Linked DNA regions of Arabidopsis thaliana. The protein of the gene in region 1 interacts with the protein of each later gene in a pairwise test. Each region holds a gene or a part of one and is shown on either strand. Other genes may lie near its edges. The genes, in order: RAPTOR1 and ML1.

Region 1 (6,944 bases):
AGGATATGATATAAAAAAATGTAGAGAAATATTAGGTGGTAAATATATGTTCATTCAGAATTCATGTCAGAACAAAACACAAATTGTTTTTCCATCAAGGTCCACACTCAATAAACAACAGGTGCACAGAAAACCACAGAAAGAACTAGCACAATTTGTAGAATAACAAAAAGAGGCATGGCAAACCACCATCTTCCTCCCAAAAAATAGCTCATGGAACATCAGATATTTACCTTGTCAAGTGCAAGAATTTTTGTCCATATGAAAACCAGGATCTGTCTTAGCTCATTCGTTGTTGTTTGCAGAAGCTTCAGCACATATGGGAATATTCCAACAGACAAGGCCTAGAAGAATGTTCACTTCACGTGTAAAGACATATACATGATAAAAAGGAGAAACTCTGTGTAAGCCAAAGGGAGAGAGAAATTAAAATTTAAAGAAGTATACCAGATCCACAGCCCATGAACCCATATCAAGAAATCTTCCAAGAAGTACAAGAGCACGAAACCGATGGCACTGGCTAAGTAACACCTGAAACAAACCAGATTCTATAAATACGCTAAAATGGCAATATGCAAACAAAATTATGATAGAACGTCCTGAAGGAAGCCAAAGAATGTTCCTAAGCCATATCCACACAAAACCCAGAGTGAGAAAATGGCAAATGAATATGAATCTCTCTCTCCCTCTCTCTCTCAGCAAAAGGGAAAATAAGTACAGAAATCTAGGCACCTGAAGAACAATAGGTAACTGCTCCGGTGGCTTCTTATGCTCAGATCCATGATCAAGCCACACCTCAAAAGCTGTCAGTTGCTCAGTAAAAAACGGACTTGGCTAGAAAAAGGATAGGAACACGTTTTATAAGCAAAACAAGCGCCGTCGTATACAATTGCAGGAAACTATACAAAACAAAACAAACCTGGAACTCTGTGCTTGGGTCCAGAACAAGTTGGGGAAGCTGAGAAAGACAGATTTCAGCAGCCATGTCCCATGCATCCCTGAAAAGCATGCAACGGATAGCTGAGTCAAAATCTAGACACATAACATTTTACATAACAGAAGAATATGGTTCTTGTTGAATACCACATATGATGTTGATGCGTAGGAGGCAGCATAGGGTGAGATATTGGATTACAGTTTGCGGACCGCATTATTCTCTCAGCAAGTAAGAAATTCCGGAAAAGGCTAGCGACCAACAAGTCCTGTCTGAATAATCTCTGGAAAAGTTCTGCAGGGTAAAACTATCATTCATGAGGACACAGAAAAGAAGTCAACTTGAAGAAGATTTACCCTTGATAAATTATGCAGAAAGTTTGGAGAAGTACCATGAGGAAGCACATTCCAAGCAATTGTATCCGTCACTGCTGTGAAAATCCAGTTCAACTCCCCTAACAATGTCTTACGATCGTTTTGCCGGCCTGGAATCCTGTCGATAAGTGATTCATCGATAATTTCTTTCAGAAGCGAACGCCTGCAGAACCTGCAATGGAAATCCTCTTGTGAAAAAGCTGCAAGCTAAACTGAACTACATAAAATGGTGATCTGTTTACTGGAAAAAGGTTAAAAAGAAGCCCAGAATTGAAACCGCACAGACTCAGTAGCAATTAGTTATAGAATAAATATCACAGAAGGAGAAGGCTATCAATCAGGATGATATCGTGAATCTTTTGGTATCATCAAAAATACTTAGCCAGGACAGAAAGAATTATTGCAAACCATACATCAGCAAACTTCCATATGCAAAGTGACTTGGCAGCTAAAGGTATTATCAGTCCTGGTTATCTCACAACTCTTATGATATGCTGTTTTACCACCCCACAAAACTAAAACATACGCACAAGGTCTTCTAAACAAAACTCTATGATCCATCTTTGGTCCCATCCAAAATGCTGCCGAAAAGTTTTGATCTTACCTCATGATGAAGCGAGAACATACTAGCTAAGATTTTATAAACTTAGCTAGACGGAACTTAAACTACATTTTGTAGGAAGAAAACATGACATCTGAGTACGCAAAAAAAGTCAGAGATGGAATGATGATTTACCATTTCAACGCCATTTTAATGGGCGTTGTCAGGCAAGACGTAAAAACATCAGCTGGAAACTCAACGCTCTGAGGAAGTGTCTCATGTACATCACAAGCAGCAAGTAGAATGCAGTCCCTTGAGGATCCAGAGGAACCAGAAGAACCCCAATCATGAAGCTGGCGTAAAGAGTATATGAATTTTATCAACTTATGGAACGAAAATTACAGACTCGAGTCCTAAACTCGACAGGAGATGTGTTCTATAAGTGAAGTGGTTGTTTCCTTTACCTCAGCAAAGGCATTCAGAATCATCCTAGCAGCAGAGCAGTCGAAAACATAGATGGAGGGTGTCTTCAACCAGGAATCAAGTTCACTGATTGGCAAGGGAATGTACTGTGTATAACTCTGCTCAAACAGAGAATCAATCAGCTCGTGGTAACAGACGAGAAGGAACAAGAACATGGTAGAGAAAAGAAAACGCTAGTAAAAAACAGACCTTGTTAAATACCCAAATTTCACCATTAGCTGTAGGTTTTGGCACACCATGCCCATTATAATGGAATAGAACTCTCTCGGTCTTTGCATATTTCCGACAAGTCAAGCACAGCTTCCTCACCTCATCTACTGTCGGATCAAGCTGAACCTTATAGCGGGCCTGAGAAATCATAAAATAAATAAGAAAAGCGTAACTTAACAAAACAATAATGATAGGGTGCAGGGAAAAAAATTGTCACCCTGGGTTGCCATCTCTCATACTGAGTGCTCAAATTTTTTCCAATTGTCTCGAGAGCTTTAGGCGGTGCCATAGAAAATGGATCTGCCATCAGAAAGAAAAAAAATAGAGATAAAATTGACTGTGGCGACAAAAAAAAGGGATAAACACAGAAAAGAAAGAGTGTAATAGGATTGAGTAGGCCAAAGTTTCAACCTATCCATGCCTCGATTCTAGCACAAGGAGATATCTTTATAACATCCGGCGGATCAACAGTAATGTTTAAACACAGAACTAAAGCTACACATCCTGTTTTCATCTGCAAAGAAGAAGAAGAAAAGTTAACAAAGAATATGAGACTTGCAAGAACTCCCCTAGCTATCAGATCCAATGAACACCTGATTTAGCTTCCGACGAGAAATAGAATTATTTCTGAAGAGACATTGAGATTGAAACGAAACGGAAACATGTATCTTTAAGGTTCAGCTCCACAATAAAAACGTTAACACAAGTACACAACCCTCCTCGGTTAACATTACCTAACATAGTAGCGAACAATAGCAGATTTTATAATGAATTCTAGAAAATGTAGTTGTTCTACCCGCCTCTTACATCGTCAGTTGCACTAAACAAGCTAGTCTAACATACTTGCAGCTACCAACAATGTTCGATTGAAAACTTACTCGTTCTTTAAGCCGCCATTTGGGGACCAATACGATCTCAGAAGTCCCCAAGGGAGCAGAAGCCTCGGATGCGTCGTGTCTAAGCTCGCAGAGCACAATAGTCTGAGGCAAGTAAGCCATGCTGGTGGCGGTGGCGGCTCCCTCCGTTGTACCATTCCCGTAGCTACTACTGCTCTTAGCCTCAGAATCCTTCCTCCGGGAATCACCGTCATCGTGACTAGAGACACAGTCTTCGTCGTAACGGTGATTGGAGACCAAAGAAACAGAAGATTGCGAGAACCGAGACACCATTAAGTCTCCTAATGCCATCCAAATCGGAGAACACACCCCCGAATTAACACACCCCCAGAAATCACGCAAATCAAATCCTCAGCCCTAGCTTTTTTGTTTGGATTGTGCGAGATACAGAAAATAAAATAGAAAGGAAGACGGAGAAATCCAGATCAATCAACAAAGCCGCTGCACCAGCGGCGCAGGAGCAGAGAATCCAGCTCGAAAAACCCTCGACAGAGAAGCGGAAGCGGAAACCCTAAGAATCAGGAGAAGCGGAGGATGAAGAACGATGATGATTGGCTACGACGGCGATTGATGTGGAAGCGGCGGCGAATTAACAGTGGTGGTGGTGGTGGCGGCAGAAGAGAAAAAAAAAAGGCAGAGGAGAAAGTGAGGATGCGAAAATTGGGATTTTGTCAAAGAGAGAGACAAAGGGAAAGTCTTCAATGCATTTGCGTTTTCTTTCCACTTCTCTTTCATTCTTTTTCTCCTTTCCGTTTTTAGTTTTACCCTCTTCAGATCAAAAATCCACTCTAATTAATTACTAACTTTAATGCAATGTTATTAAATACTAATATTATAAGATTGAGAGGTATACTAAATATCTATAATTTTAAAATTAATTTATGTTTAAAATGTGGAAATTGAAATTTTGTATGCATCATTGAGAAACAAATTCAAAGAACACCATCAATGGATCGACTAATTAACTGAGAAGTTAATCGCAAATTCAATCTGATTCTTTGATTAAAATGCAACTTAAAACTCACTTTTATTCTAATCACGGTCTAAATCTAAATTTAAAAAATCAGTCTAGTTTAATTACGAAAACAAAAATTCAAGCTACTAAACTAGTAACAGAGAAATGATATTAAATTTAAAAACGATATTAGATTTTTTAAAACTATATTAATTTTTTTTTAAACGAGACAATTGTATTTTCGTAACCATAAATTACTTAGCTGACACTTTGTTACGTGAGTTACCATAAATTCTTCGAATCACCTCTAGGATTCCGTACAACGGGGTACATGAAGGGATCATCATTGCACACGCTTCATAAGTATATTTATGTTTTAATCAGTTTTGTGTTATAACGTTTAAATTAGTGTAATCTAAACACCAACGGTTTTTCTACTCTTACATAGCAATGTCTGGTCTTCTAAACCGAATTCATCTAGGGTTTATTGTAGTTGGTAAAAAAATGAAAACCGAAAAACTAAAAATTTGGTGTAGGGAAAAAATATTGGGTTCAAATTCCATGTTAATCAAAACTTCAGGTTCCGTTTTGCAATTATTCCATTATATTATCAATTTTGGACACAAACATCAAGCTGACACTTTGTTTGTCTGAATAACATTATCAAAGGCCATATATATCTAAAAGTCAGCAGAAAAATATCACAACTCCCTCTCTCTCACTTGGGAATCTCGCATCGAGAAAACAAGAAGATTCGATGATAAGAAAGACACTATGCATACTTGAAGAACTTATATTCGTGCTGACGAGTCTCGTTTCCGCGATCAGGACAGCTCTCCGGACATCGTTTTCCTACTCCGCCGCGGCGCCGCCATTTCTACCACTTCCTCGTCTTTGATGACCAACTGTTTTGCCCCACAGGTGTATCATTCAAGTTTTACTCTAAACTCGAAACTTCGGATCAATATATGTATTTGTGGAATATCATTAGCAGCGAGTTTTTTATTTATTTGTAGATTCTATCAAGTGTATACAGTACTGTACATTTAGTTACATATACTTGCATCTGTGATATATTTCGGTAAACACCAATTGTAATTCTACTTTATGATGTATTGTGTTATTTATATACACATACAAGGGTGAGTGATCATTAGAGAACGGATAAAGATAGTAAATCACATCTTGGACATGGCGTGATCCATCACATCCACGAGGAAATCTACAAAATACAAGATTTGAAACAACATAAATCATGAATAAAAAAATGAAACAAAAAGAAACCAATTTGAAGATATATATGTTAAACTAAGGAGCTAACCAGCGTCGGAGAGGGTGAAGCAGAGAGGAGGAGTGATTCTGAAGACATTCCCATAGAATCCACCTTTCCCCACCAACACTCCCATTTCTTGATACCAAAAGATTTGTATTAAACACTATCTTAAATGCATAAGTATCAACTTTATATGATGAGAGTGATCAATTTCACTTGGTTTAGGATTGAACACAACTAACCTTTCATTTGATCCATTAAATGAAGGGTCTCTGCTTTTGCAGGAGTTTTTAAGTCGCGGTCTTTGACAAACTCAACTCCTAGCATCAATCCTCTCCCTCTCACGTCTCCAATGACTAAACAAATTAGAGAAAGGATAAGATATTCAATAAAGAAAAATTTTAAAATTGATTTTAATTTGGACAAGAAGTAACTCACGTTCGTATTTGTTTTTGAGTAGCGTAAGTCTACGTTTAAGATGTGAGCCAACGAGGTTAGCATTCTCTTGGAGCTTCTCTTCGTGAAGGACTCTAAGTACTGCGTGTCCTGCGGCCGTGCACATTGGATTTCCGCCGAAAGTATTAAAGTAACTCCGACGGCTTAAAACGCCGGCAATCTCCGGTGTCGTCACAACCGCTCCAAGTGGTATACCGTTACCGATCCCCTGCAAAATCCAAATTAGAATTGATGATGATAAATTGATAACGATGCATGAATCATGATAATGATGAACCTTGGCCATGGTGACGATGTCAGGGATAACACCATGGGATTGAAACCCCCAGAAATGGGTTCCGGTACGAGCAAAACCGGATTGGACTTCATCGGCGATGCAAACTCCTCCGGCTTTCCTCACGATGTCGTAAGCCGCCGGTAAGTATCCGGGAGCAAGCTCTACGATTCCTCCAACACCCTGTTACAGGATATAGACTACATTACATGCATATTCATTATCATAATCATAAATACCTTTTTGATATAAGAAATAAGTACAAATTAATCTCGCCTGGATTGATTCGCCAATGAAACCGGCGACTTGACCGGACGTTCCGAATTGGATAAGATCGTGTACATCACTCGCGTACTTTTCACCGTCGGATCCAAATATTCCTCTGTAAGGATCTGGATTTATGGCGTGATGAACTCCACTCTGTTACAGAGATGATGCCTTGTCAAATTTAAATTTGGGTTGGTTACTTCTTCTCTTCTTCATATAAACTCATTTAGTCCAAGCTAATCGATTCAAACGTCATATTGAACTTTGATTCCATTCTAATT
Region 2 (9,833 bases), on another chromosome or scaffold:
ATATAAAGTTTGTGGATATCCTTAAGTTGATCCGCCTGGGATATAAAATGTTATGTGACAATAAAAAAGGAGGTTGTGGTAAGAAAAGCTATGTTGATCACATTATACGTAGATGCCCGCCTATCTTTACCATTGGTAAGCTTTGACCCCCTTGATTGTGATCTTTTGTACTCAATTTCATATATTATGCTTAATCATAAAGCAATGTTGGCGTTTTGTTGGTTTGCAATGTCAGTGTTGGAATGGGAGAAGAGTGAAACTGAGAAAGAAATATCTGAAACAACAAAGGCTTTGGACTGGGAGATAGATATCAGCAGGCTGTACGAAGAAGGCTTAGAAACAAACACTAACTACCGGCTTGTGTCAATGGTAAAACATCTGAAACATGGTCATATTTGTTTGTGCTATAGTTCTTCCGTTTTTCTTAGTTACAGTGTCAGAATATCTGGGATGTGATGCAGGTTGGTTGTGGTGAAGGAGAAGAAGAACACGTATGCCTAGCTTATGAAAAGAATCGGTGGGTCAATCTCAGACGTGAGTGTTTTGCAGGAGAGGTAAGTCGAAACAGTTGTTTTTTCCTTCAATGAGTTGAATAGTAAATCTAGATAGGCCAGACATGATTTATATGTGTTGTGATGGCATAGGATGTTGGTGACTGGAAGAATGTGGTCAGATTCTGTGGAGAGAGGAAGGTTCGGCCAGAGATTCTGATATATGAATCTGTCCGATTGATGGCCTAGGAAGTGACAGTATTGTATCAAAATATGGAGAAATCCAGAATCGTGTTCTGTTCTCTCAGGGAGGGTTCCCTTTGAAATTACATTTGTTATCTACACAGAATCCTTTTTCTTGTTGTTGTTGTTGAATCTTGATAAGAAACTTCAGATTATTTTTGGCTCTTGTATCGTATGACCTTACTCTTACAGCACCAAACATTATAACAGAGCTTTGAATAAATATTTGTTTAAGAAACTTCAGAATTAGTTATAGGTTTCTTCATGTCGTATCATATAATAATACCAAACTCTGTCCAGTAGATATATCATAGGAAACCATATACTATGTCCTTATGCAAAATATACTCAATGAAACCCACGGAATGATATTAGTCAGTGCCCTTCGTAAAATTCATCTGCTTCAGATAGAACTCGCCACAGAACAAAAATTAGGAAAAATAATATTTTTATATATCCCAAAATAGAAGCATTCAAAAAAGGGTCCAAAAGAGTACAACGTAGAATGGCCACAAATAGCCAGCAAAGAAGATGAGTGTAATCCAAGGCTGTTATACATTGATAGCAAGAACCAAAAATCCTTGAATATAACCCCAAAACCCAAAAAAAAAGAGGAACAAAAAAAAAACCTGCAATATTTTTCAGGGGATTTTGATAATACAACAAAACTGGTGAAGCAACAACAACCTGGGTAAAAGGTTTGTGGTCAACAAAGTTTTTCATCTCTCCAAAAAATTTCTTCACTGCAAAATGAGTTTTGTCAGGGTAAATCTAACACCCCCCGATTTACAGAACTCTAGGGTGTGTGGATGATATCATATAATAATAACTTTATATATATTTAACCTTCTTGTTATCTTCGTGTCTCTTTTTATGTGTTCTTTGTTTTACCTCTGCTTGTTTTGCTCATTGGTTAGTTCTCCTTCAAGAACGGATCAGTTCCATTAGGAGTTTCTTCTCGGTTTTCAGAAACGGAAGAGATGCTAAAGCTGTTGTAGTTGTCAATGCTACTGCTTCGTGGCTTGCCTGGTCTTGACCGTATGTTGCTTCCCATTGGAAATGGTTCCTGTGGTGATATAACAACAAAGGAAATCATATGAATCTTCTTTTACTCACTAATCTTATGATATAATGAAATCACACTTGAAGTGAAGGAAGTGCATATGGATAATGGGAACCAAACAAGACGGAATTGTATGAAGCTTTAATCTTTACCTGATCACCAGCATTTGGACCATCAGTGTGGAAGAGAATAGGTCGGCAACGTTTGTCTTCGTTCATTAAGCTTGAGTTCTGGAAATGGGCAATAAGAGCTGTTTTCCCTTGGATACGAGCATACGTAAGCGTTGCCACCTTCTCGCTATTGAACTTTTCCCACTTTTTGCCATTAAATGCCTGTGAATGTTTTTTTAAGAGCTTTTAGCCAATGCTCTCCCAAAAGGACAAAAGCCATAAGAAAAAGCAGCAATATGAGACTGTACCTTAAAAAATGGGACAATCTTTTCAGGTTCAATAAGATTGATGAAAGCATATCCCACATTGCATTTGTTCTGAAATGACAGGGTAAGATTAGATTAGATCGTTATTGCAAAATACCAAAACCTCTACGTGTCTGCTTAATAAGACTTTCTTATATAAAAAAGGTAGGACGCCTGCTTGCCTTGAAGTCAATTGGCAAATAAAGGAAATCATAAGTTCCTTTACAATGCTCGTCAATAGCAGATAGAAGCATCTTCGAAGTGTACCTAAACCATAGCAGAATTAAAAAAAAAAAAAAAAAAAAGAGAGTCAAAGATGAAAACAGAATACATCTTTAACTAAAGACACAAACTATAAATAGTTGCAGAAGATATAGACAAGAAAAATAAAAGAGAGACACTGAGTTCACGTACTTGTTAGGAATGTTTTTAATCATCAATGTTGTCCTCCTGTCCTCCCCACGTAATATACGGTCAACGTCAAGCTCATACAGTTTTTTGTCAGCATTGCTAGAGCTAGATTCGCTTCTTCGGTGAGAGAGATTCCTGTATCGTTCATTTGGCGAGTCAAATGACCCTGGCATCGAACCCATTGGACTCCTTCCAGGAAAGAGATGAGATAACTGTTGAGGAGATCGCAGGACAGCATTTTGGGAATTTACATCCATGCGATTCCCACCAACAGAGAAAGTCTTATGAGAACCAATGTCCATTGGATGTGATGGTGAAGAGCCAGGAATCCCCATGCTACCATGAGAACCTATGTGGAAGCCAGATGATTCTAGAGATTCAGCTACATAGGCTTGTCTTCTGTCCCAGAAAGGAGAATTTAATACCGGCGCAGATCCAATGTGGTGGTGCACAGGGGAAGATGCCATATTCACCATTATAGGAGGTGCTCTAGAGAATACAGTAACAGGTGGGCGCTGAGTAGGAATGCTGTTGATGTGAGATGGCGAGTTAGGCCACATCATGCCACTTGACGGATTTTGTTGCTGAGTGTTAGAGTTGCTCCATAAATTAATAGGGCGGCGAGAGCTTTGATGCATGGGAGATCCTATACCTACAGTCAAAAGATAACAACAGCTAAAAGTAAGGAAAGAGAATATTTCGTATGGCAGTTGAAAGAAAAACTTCATTACAATCTTCCATATCAAAATTTTTTTAGCAATGATAATATACACAATTAGGTTCAACCCCTTCTCATATTCAAACCCCAGTACAACACTGCCTAATCTGTTTAGATAACTGGCCATTAAGAACATAATGCTAATACTGTCTTTCCCAGGATGACAAAAATAAAAAAAAACAGTTGTAAACAAGTTGTCTATCCAGACAACAGTACCTACTGTGCATTGCTGTAGCATTTCACAGTCTACTAAAATTGTAAGGACCATTTCAATGTCGTAACTTAAAGATTGTGCTCTGATAATGTACTACAGCAGAGCTTATCAAGACAGTAGCACATTAGCGATAGAGAACTTACCGCCTCCACTAAAGCCTTCCACTCCACGAACATTATGTATCATAAAGCCTTCATTTGCTTTTGAGCCATCACTGACCATTTCAGAAAATGCAGAGGACGTATATGGACTACCATTTGCAAAGTTGTCGACGTACTCCGAAAAAGAATGAGGATGGAGATTTGGCATGCTTTGGATCCCCATATTTGAATTATCAAAATGGTGGCCATGCTCCTGAAGTCCTACAGGCTTACTTGCTGAGATGCCGTTTGCCGAAGGTGGGAATCCAATAGGAATGCTGAGACTACGATGTCGTTCAATGAAGGAATTCACAGGTGATCCAATAGAATTATGTATAACCCGCATAGATCCACCATCACTGGAGGTTGAAGAAATCATTCCTGGGAAATGTCTACCTGAAACAGAGATATTTAACTGCAATGATTTGTGTCCCCAGATGATTGATGATTGAAGAAAAAAGAACTATAAACCATAGATGTAAAGGCATACCTATGTGTCCCGATGATGTATTACTATAAGACGTTTTAGGTAGACACCCTTCAGTATCATTTGCAGCACACTGCGACGTGTATCTGAAAAAGATAATGAATCATACATTAATACAGTTGACGTCCATGTAAAGACTTGATAACAAATCACATGTTCAAATCAGTTTGATTAGCATTTGCATCAATTTCACAGCCCACAATGGAATATAAAGCAGGTGAAAATGCCCAATCACCACCTTGTACCCTCTGGATAGGTCGGCACAAGTTGAAGCTTCTTCCCAGCAACCTCAAGTCCATTTAGTCCACCAAGAGCAGCTGCTGCAGCTCGAACGTCAAAGAACTCTATGTATATCTGTGAGTTATCATGCATGGTCCTACGAATCTACAAACCACAGAAACCGAATAAGTATCAATCTCAGAACTCAAATACAGGGAGAACCCCAGTATACCAACCTCTTTGACCTCTCCATACGATTTGACCAGTCGATTCAGCTCTTGATTCGAAATAGAAGAATCGAGATTATTAACCAACAAGGCTCCTTTACTTGTATCTTTTTGTGAAGGATTTTCCTGATAGCAAGAAAAATTGTAAGCACAAGTCACAAATGCAATCCATATAGCAAACGACAAAATCTTCTTTCAGAACAGTGAATACCTTAGAGATAGAATAACGAATGTCAAGTTTTGTTCCTCTTAACAGCTTATTCTGGAGTGCTCTCGCCGCATTCTGAGCAGCCCTTATATCACAGTACGATACCATGATAAAGCCACGATTTTTGCAAGCTGTATGAAGAGCCTGGATGTCTCCAAATTGCTGAACAAGCAAATGTATCCTCAGTACGAAGTAAGTAATCCCAAAATTTCTACATACCTTACATTTCCTAAGTAAAGAATCCATGCGAACCAAAATTGCTGCTGAAAGAAGGTACCTCAAAAAGGACCTTCAGCTCATAGTCTTCAACATTGCTACTGATATTTCCGACCAAAAGTGTTCTGGATGGAATTTCCCCACGGTTAAGCTCGCCAACAGAATTATTGCCACCTCTCTCACCATTTCTATGACTCACAGAAGAAAAAATATCTCCATCTAGTTCCATGCCACCAACACTGCTGAAGAGGTCAAACTCATCCAACTCATCTCCTGTATTAGCACGAGATTTACGCCCAACCTCACCTGTCACTTCTGCAAAAAGATCATCTTCATCTGGGAGAAGATTTCCAATAGTTTGTGCCTCAATCTCTTCCAAAGATTCAGACGGTTCTTCTTCACGGTGGGTAACAACTGTGTTTGCAGACATAGTGGATAGCATATCACTTCCCTGTAGCCGCACTGCAAAAAACAGCAAGTTGGAGACACGCTCAAGTAGTTAAAGTACAGTAAGTCAGAGCACACAAGTAACAATGTTTTTTTACCATAGAGGATTGTAGATTTTAGGAAGCTGAATAAAAAATCTAACACAATAATTAAAAAAACCATAAAGGTGAACCAGAAGCTTACGCTTTCTACTAAATAAATCAGACATTGAGCTGGAAAATAAACTGCTTTCCCACTGACTACCATTTGTAGTGTTTCTTGCGTTAGGGCTACCAGAGGGGTGCGACCCAGAAAAACTAGATTGTGGCTTCAGCTGGTAACTTTCAGATGTCCAGGAACTCTTTGGCATACTTGAAAGTCTATCACGACCACCTTGGTTTTCAGGCATCATGTCTGTTTTCATAAACCCAAATTGCCTCTGCCGAACAAAAAAGCACAAGTATAGTTGAGAAAAACTAGTGGCAGATATAATGTCATACGTGAGAAATATGATACCAGCAATTCTAGAGCTACACAGTTTAAATCCTGAAACAAATGAAAACAAAGAGTTTACCTCTGAAGTAATATGAATATCTTCATGAAAGTGGGAAGGTGTTGAAACACCTCTCTGTTCCATTATATCAGACGGCATCTTACAAAATTTGACTAATAAAACCAGAATCAAAATCTTTTAAAACTTTAAACTTATTTCAACGAACCATATCACTTCCCCTGAAAAAACCTGAAAAAAAAAAAAAAAAGTGGTCAAGTCAAAACCAGTGTCTACATAAACAAAATGCATTTCTCAATTGCGAGGAAGATCTTGCAAAAACGACACATAAAAGTGCTCAATTACTCACGTACAAGCCAAAAAAATCAAGCAAAAGAACTACAAAAGTAGAGAAACAGAAGATTTCTACTAGAATTACGCGAAGTCCAAGGATAAAACAAAGTTAGCAACTTCAACCACTAGAGAGGCAAAACATATCAAATCGCTGCATTTTAAGCTCATAGAAATATCTAGAAGAGACGATTAGGTACATCCAGAAGCAATAAGAGTAGAATTCGCCTAATACCGGATCCTTGTGCAGCTCATTATAATCAAACAGCGAACCAACTCTTACCTAATTCACAAATTCGGCACGGAATTAAACCATTTCCAAATTATTAAACCATAAAAATAAAAACCCTAATCACCACCAGCTACCAAAAAAATAAGAAAACTTACCTAATCACAAACAAACACAATTATGCTTCCTCTTAAACAAATTCAAACCAGATTTTCAACAAACAGTGGATCTCGTTAACTCTTATTTTTTACCTTCTTCTTCTTCAGGTATCACGATCCTTGAAGAAAAAAAAAAACAGCGATGTAGACAGAGATGAAAGAGAAGAGAGAAGAGAATAATTCCTTCTTCTCTCTTTTATCTTCCTCCTTTCCTTTTTGTTTCCTTCTATCCAATCGCATCCATCACAGAATATTTAATTCCGTAAAAGAAATTTTTTATATTATATATATAAAAAAAGTGAATCGGCGTTTTCAATTTTTTTTCTTTCTCTTTTCGAATTTCCCCTCCTCTCACGACGCGTTGTTTCCAACGAATAATTCGTGCGACCGGCGATGATTTTTGAGCTTTTCCGGCGATATTCTTCCCGTCGACGCGCGATTCCGGCACTCCCTCCGACAGAGAGAGAAACGGAGAGGAGAGAGAGATTTTTATTTTTTTGGGGGGTTTTTTTGGTTTTTGCGGTTAGTTGGTTTAGAGAACAAAAAAAATGAGAGGGAGAGGAAAAAACAAAAGAGGGAAGGAAGGAGAGAAGGACTCTGCTACGTTGTATGTACCATGGATTTAGTGGTATGGTATGAGCTTGAATCTGGACCATTCGATTATGATTATAACTCAATAGTTTATTGATTTTAGTTGAAGAATAAATAATTACGGACTCACACGAGAGTCTCGACGGCAAGTCGTCGAGTCCCGGCTAATAACCAAAGTAGCCGGCTATGAAAACAATGGACCATTTGGTTTTCTTTTTAAACATGTGATTCATTTGCTTTATCTACAAAACTTTACTTGCACAAATTAAAGTTAGAATTTCAAATCTTAGTATTATGGAAGAAAATAGTATTAAAAGGTTGTTTTAATGTTATTGATATAGTTGACATTTTTAGTTGACACATTTTTGCTTATGTTTTAGTCTCGTACATGATTTTAAATGCAAAAAGAACATTAATCCTATATTAGTTAGAGTTTAAGAAAGATGTTTGGTACTAGTTGTTTTAAGGTTTCTTTACTCTTTGCAAAAATAAAATTTGAAAATGTGATTTTATTTTTTAAACCCAAAAAGAAATCTTATTATAACAATTATATATGGTCACATTTGTTTGAGATATAAATAGATCTTATGTTTGTTCCAAAAAAAAAAAAGATACTTATGTTGCTAAATAAGTTACCGAGAAATAAATCTTCATCTGGTCATTGAATAATCTTTGTAGATAATGTTTGGTTGGTTGATTCAAGATTATATCTTATAAACGCTATTTTCATTCATTAGTTTTTTTTTATTATTGACGAGATTGAATCATTGCTTTTACTTCTATATTCACTGTCTTTATCATTCTTGTTTTGTTGTTTTCCCTACCTCTCAAGTCAAGTCTCACTTTTATATTCTTACAAGTTTGTAGTACAATCTAATGAATGGCGCCATAACAAAAATAAACTACTAAATACTAATAATAATCAGCTAGCATCTATTGAAGACTTCAAGTGAAGTTGATTTGTTTGATGGTTAAATCTCTCCATATTATCAGATTTAGCATGACTAGGTTCGAACTACTTAATGGAAATATCAAAAGATGATCTAAAATAAAACGTTTTTAAAAGATGGTATAAATATCGGAGACTGGTATTGGACTATAAAAAAAATAGTTATCCAACATTAATGCATGTATTCATCTTTTTGTCTCAAGTTAACATGCAAAAATAGGAAGAAAAAAAAAAAAAGGAATAGAATGGAAATGCATTCACGTAGCTAGCCAATCGGCCGTGAAATGTGGCTGAAGGTGAGTGTCGTGTACGATATCTCGTCTGTGAATGTATTTTACAAAAACTGCAGCTTCTTATCTTTGAATTAGTTTATGTGATCCATATTAAATGTTACTTACTATTTATGTATTCTACTCTATAGAGTATATAAATGTTTACTTGTTTAGCTTAAAGATTCATCAAGTGTTTTGTGTTGGGATCTCCGTCGGACAATGCAATCTTTTATTCCATTGAATTTAAGTACACTGCCTTTAGTATTGGATGAAACAAAAACCATTTTTGAAAATCTGAGATATATAGAAACCGGTTGGTCAGACCTTACGTCATTTTATACTTCCACTTCGTAATGATTCTGTTTGGCCTTGTTTGGCTTCATTACAAGTTTCTTTTACACATTTTATAGTAGTATCATTTAAATAATGATCACATTCAATCAAAAAATACTTCTGCCATTATTTAACTGGAGTAACGTTTTGGTTTCCCCCTCGTAAGCAACGTGTCCAATTCCTTCAATGAAGGTTTTCATCATACCAGTTCAAGTCGGTTTAATCCGATTAAAATGCTCGGTAACCCACCAATTTAGAATGTTCGGTTAAGCTCATAGGGCTAAGTATGGCAAAATTTAACGAGAATTCTCAAACAAGATCGAAACTGAATTCAAATATTTATATTGTAAAACGAAAATTTACTTAAAAACAATTAGATCAATCCAACTAGTCACAACATTCATATTTCTAGCTTAAATTTCTTTTGGCAAATATCAAGAAGTGGTGATCTAGTAGTAGATCATATATAGTCCTTTTTGAAAAGGGTTGAAACATTGTATTTATAATTTGATATTTGTTTTAAAAGGATTACTTTACTGTAACTTTAATTTCCGTTTAAAAGATTGTGTGGACTCCATTCAAAAGATTTCAAATAACAAAAAATTGCTTCTTTTAGTTCGATTATGCTTGCTTACTAAATAATACAACTAGACAATTAGTTAGAACGTAAATCCAAACTTATTAGGGGCTTAAGGCCAATCCAAAAACGAAAAATAATGGAAATTAACAAAATAAAATAAAAGTGGTCCAATAATGTTTCTTAAAATAGTTAGAGTTAGAAAATCTCAAGAACAGGATTAGAGAAAATTTCTATTCTAGTATTAGTCGGCCAAGCCAAGCTGAGCTGACAAAAAATAAGCCGAGCGTGAGAGTGGCGTGAGAGAGAGGGTCACTGTCCGCTATTTTAAATGCTGGGCGCTGCGTGAAGGATTAGAAAAGCATTTATTCTTAAAAGATGCTCTTCTCAACGTAATCCACGTGT

The links.
Region 2: the proteins of RAPTOR1 (region 1) and ML1 interact in a two-hybrid assay, tested with the Arabidopsis thaliana proteins (one study listed by BioGRID).

Annotation. Positions count from the first base shown.
Region 1 is NC_003074.8:2,691,183-2,698,126, forward strand, and holds the start of RAPTOR1 (Regulatory-associated protein of TOR 1), read right to left. Parts: upstream 4,219-6,944; 5' UTR 3,730-4,218; coding exon 3,421-3,729; intron 3,057-3,420; coding exon 2,954-3,056; intron 2,843-2,953; coding exon 2,760-2,842; intron 2,681-2,759; coding exon 2,522-2,680; intron 2,431-2,521; coding exon 2,314-2,430; intron 2,203-2,313; coding exon 2,045-2,202; intron 1,481-2,044; coding exon 1,326-1,480; intron 1,229-1,325; coding exon 1,084-1,228; intron 999-1,083; coding exon 920-998; intron 835-919; coding exon 733-834; intron 532-732; coding exon 448-531; intron 345-447; coding exon 234-344; intron 1-233. Other genes in the region: PYD4 (PYRIMIDINE 4), read right to left, coding at 5,572-5,615, 5,715-5,801, 5,909-6,022, 6,105-6,330, 6,400-6,579, 6,673-6,816. UniProt on the Arabidopsis thaliana protein: Probable component of the plant TOR kinase pathway that recruits substrates for TOR. Modulates plant cell growth and regulates the activity of ATPK1 kinase in response to osmotic stress.
Region 2 is NC_003076.8:24,877,354-24,887,186, forward strand, and holds ML1 (MEI2-like protein 1), read right to left. Parts: upstream 7,500-9,833; 5' UTR 6,800-7,499; exon of another isoform or gene 6,221-6,799; 5' UTR 6,201-6,220; coding exon of another isoform or gene 6,198-6,200; 5' UTR 6,131-6,197; coding exon 6,053-6,130; intron 5,918-6,052; coding exon 5,683-5,917; intron 5,515-5,682; coding exon 5,114-5,514; intron 4,999-5,113; coding exon 4,840-4,998; intron 4,755-4,839; coding exon 4,638-4,754; intron 4,567-4,637; coding exon 4,421-4,566; intron 4,269-4,420; coding exon 4,186-4,268; intron 4,092-4,185; coding exon 3,699-4,091; intron 3,276-3,698; coding exon 2,627-3,275; intron 2,480-2,626; coding exon 2,395-2,479; intron 2,285-2,394; coding exon 2,216-2,284; intron 2,130-2,215; coding exon 1,950-2,129; intron 1,801-1,949; coding exon 1,648-1,800; 3' UTR 1,154-1,647; downstream 1-1,153. Other genes in the region: AT5G61950 (Ubiquitin carboxyl-terminal hydrolase-related protein), read left to right, coding at 1-135, 236-369, 462-554, 645-740. UniProt on the Arabidopsis thaliana protein: Probable RNA-binding transcriptional activator that plays a role in meiosis and vegetative growth. May be a downstream effector of TOR signaling pathway and recruited by RAPTOR1 for TOR substrate.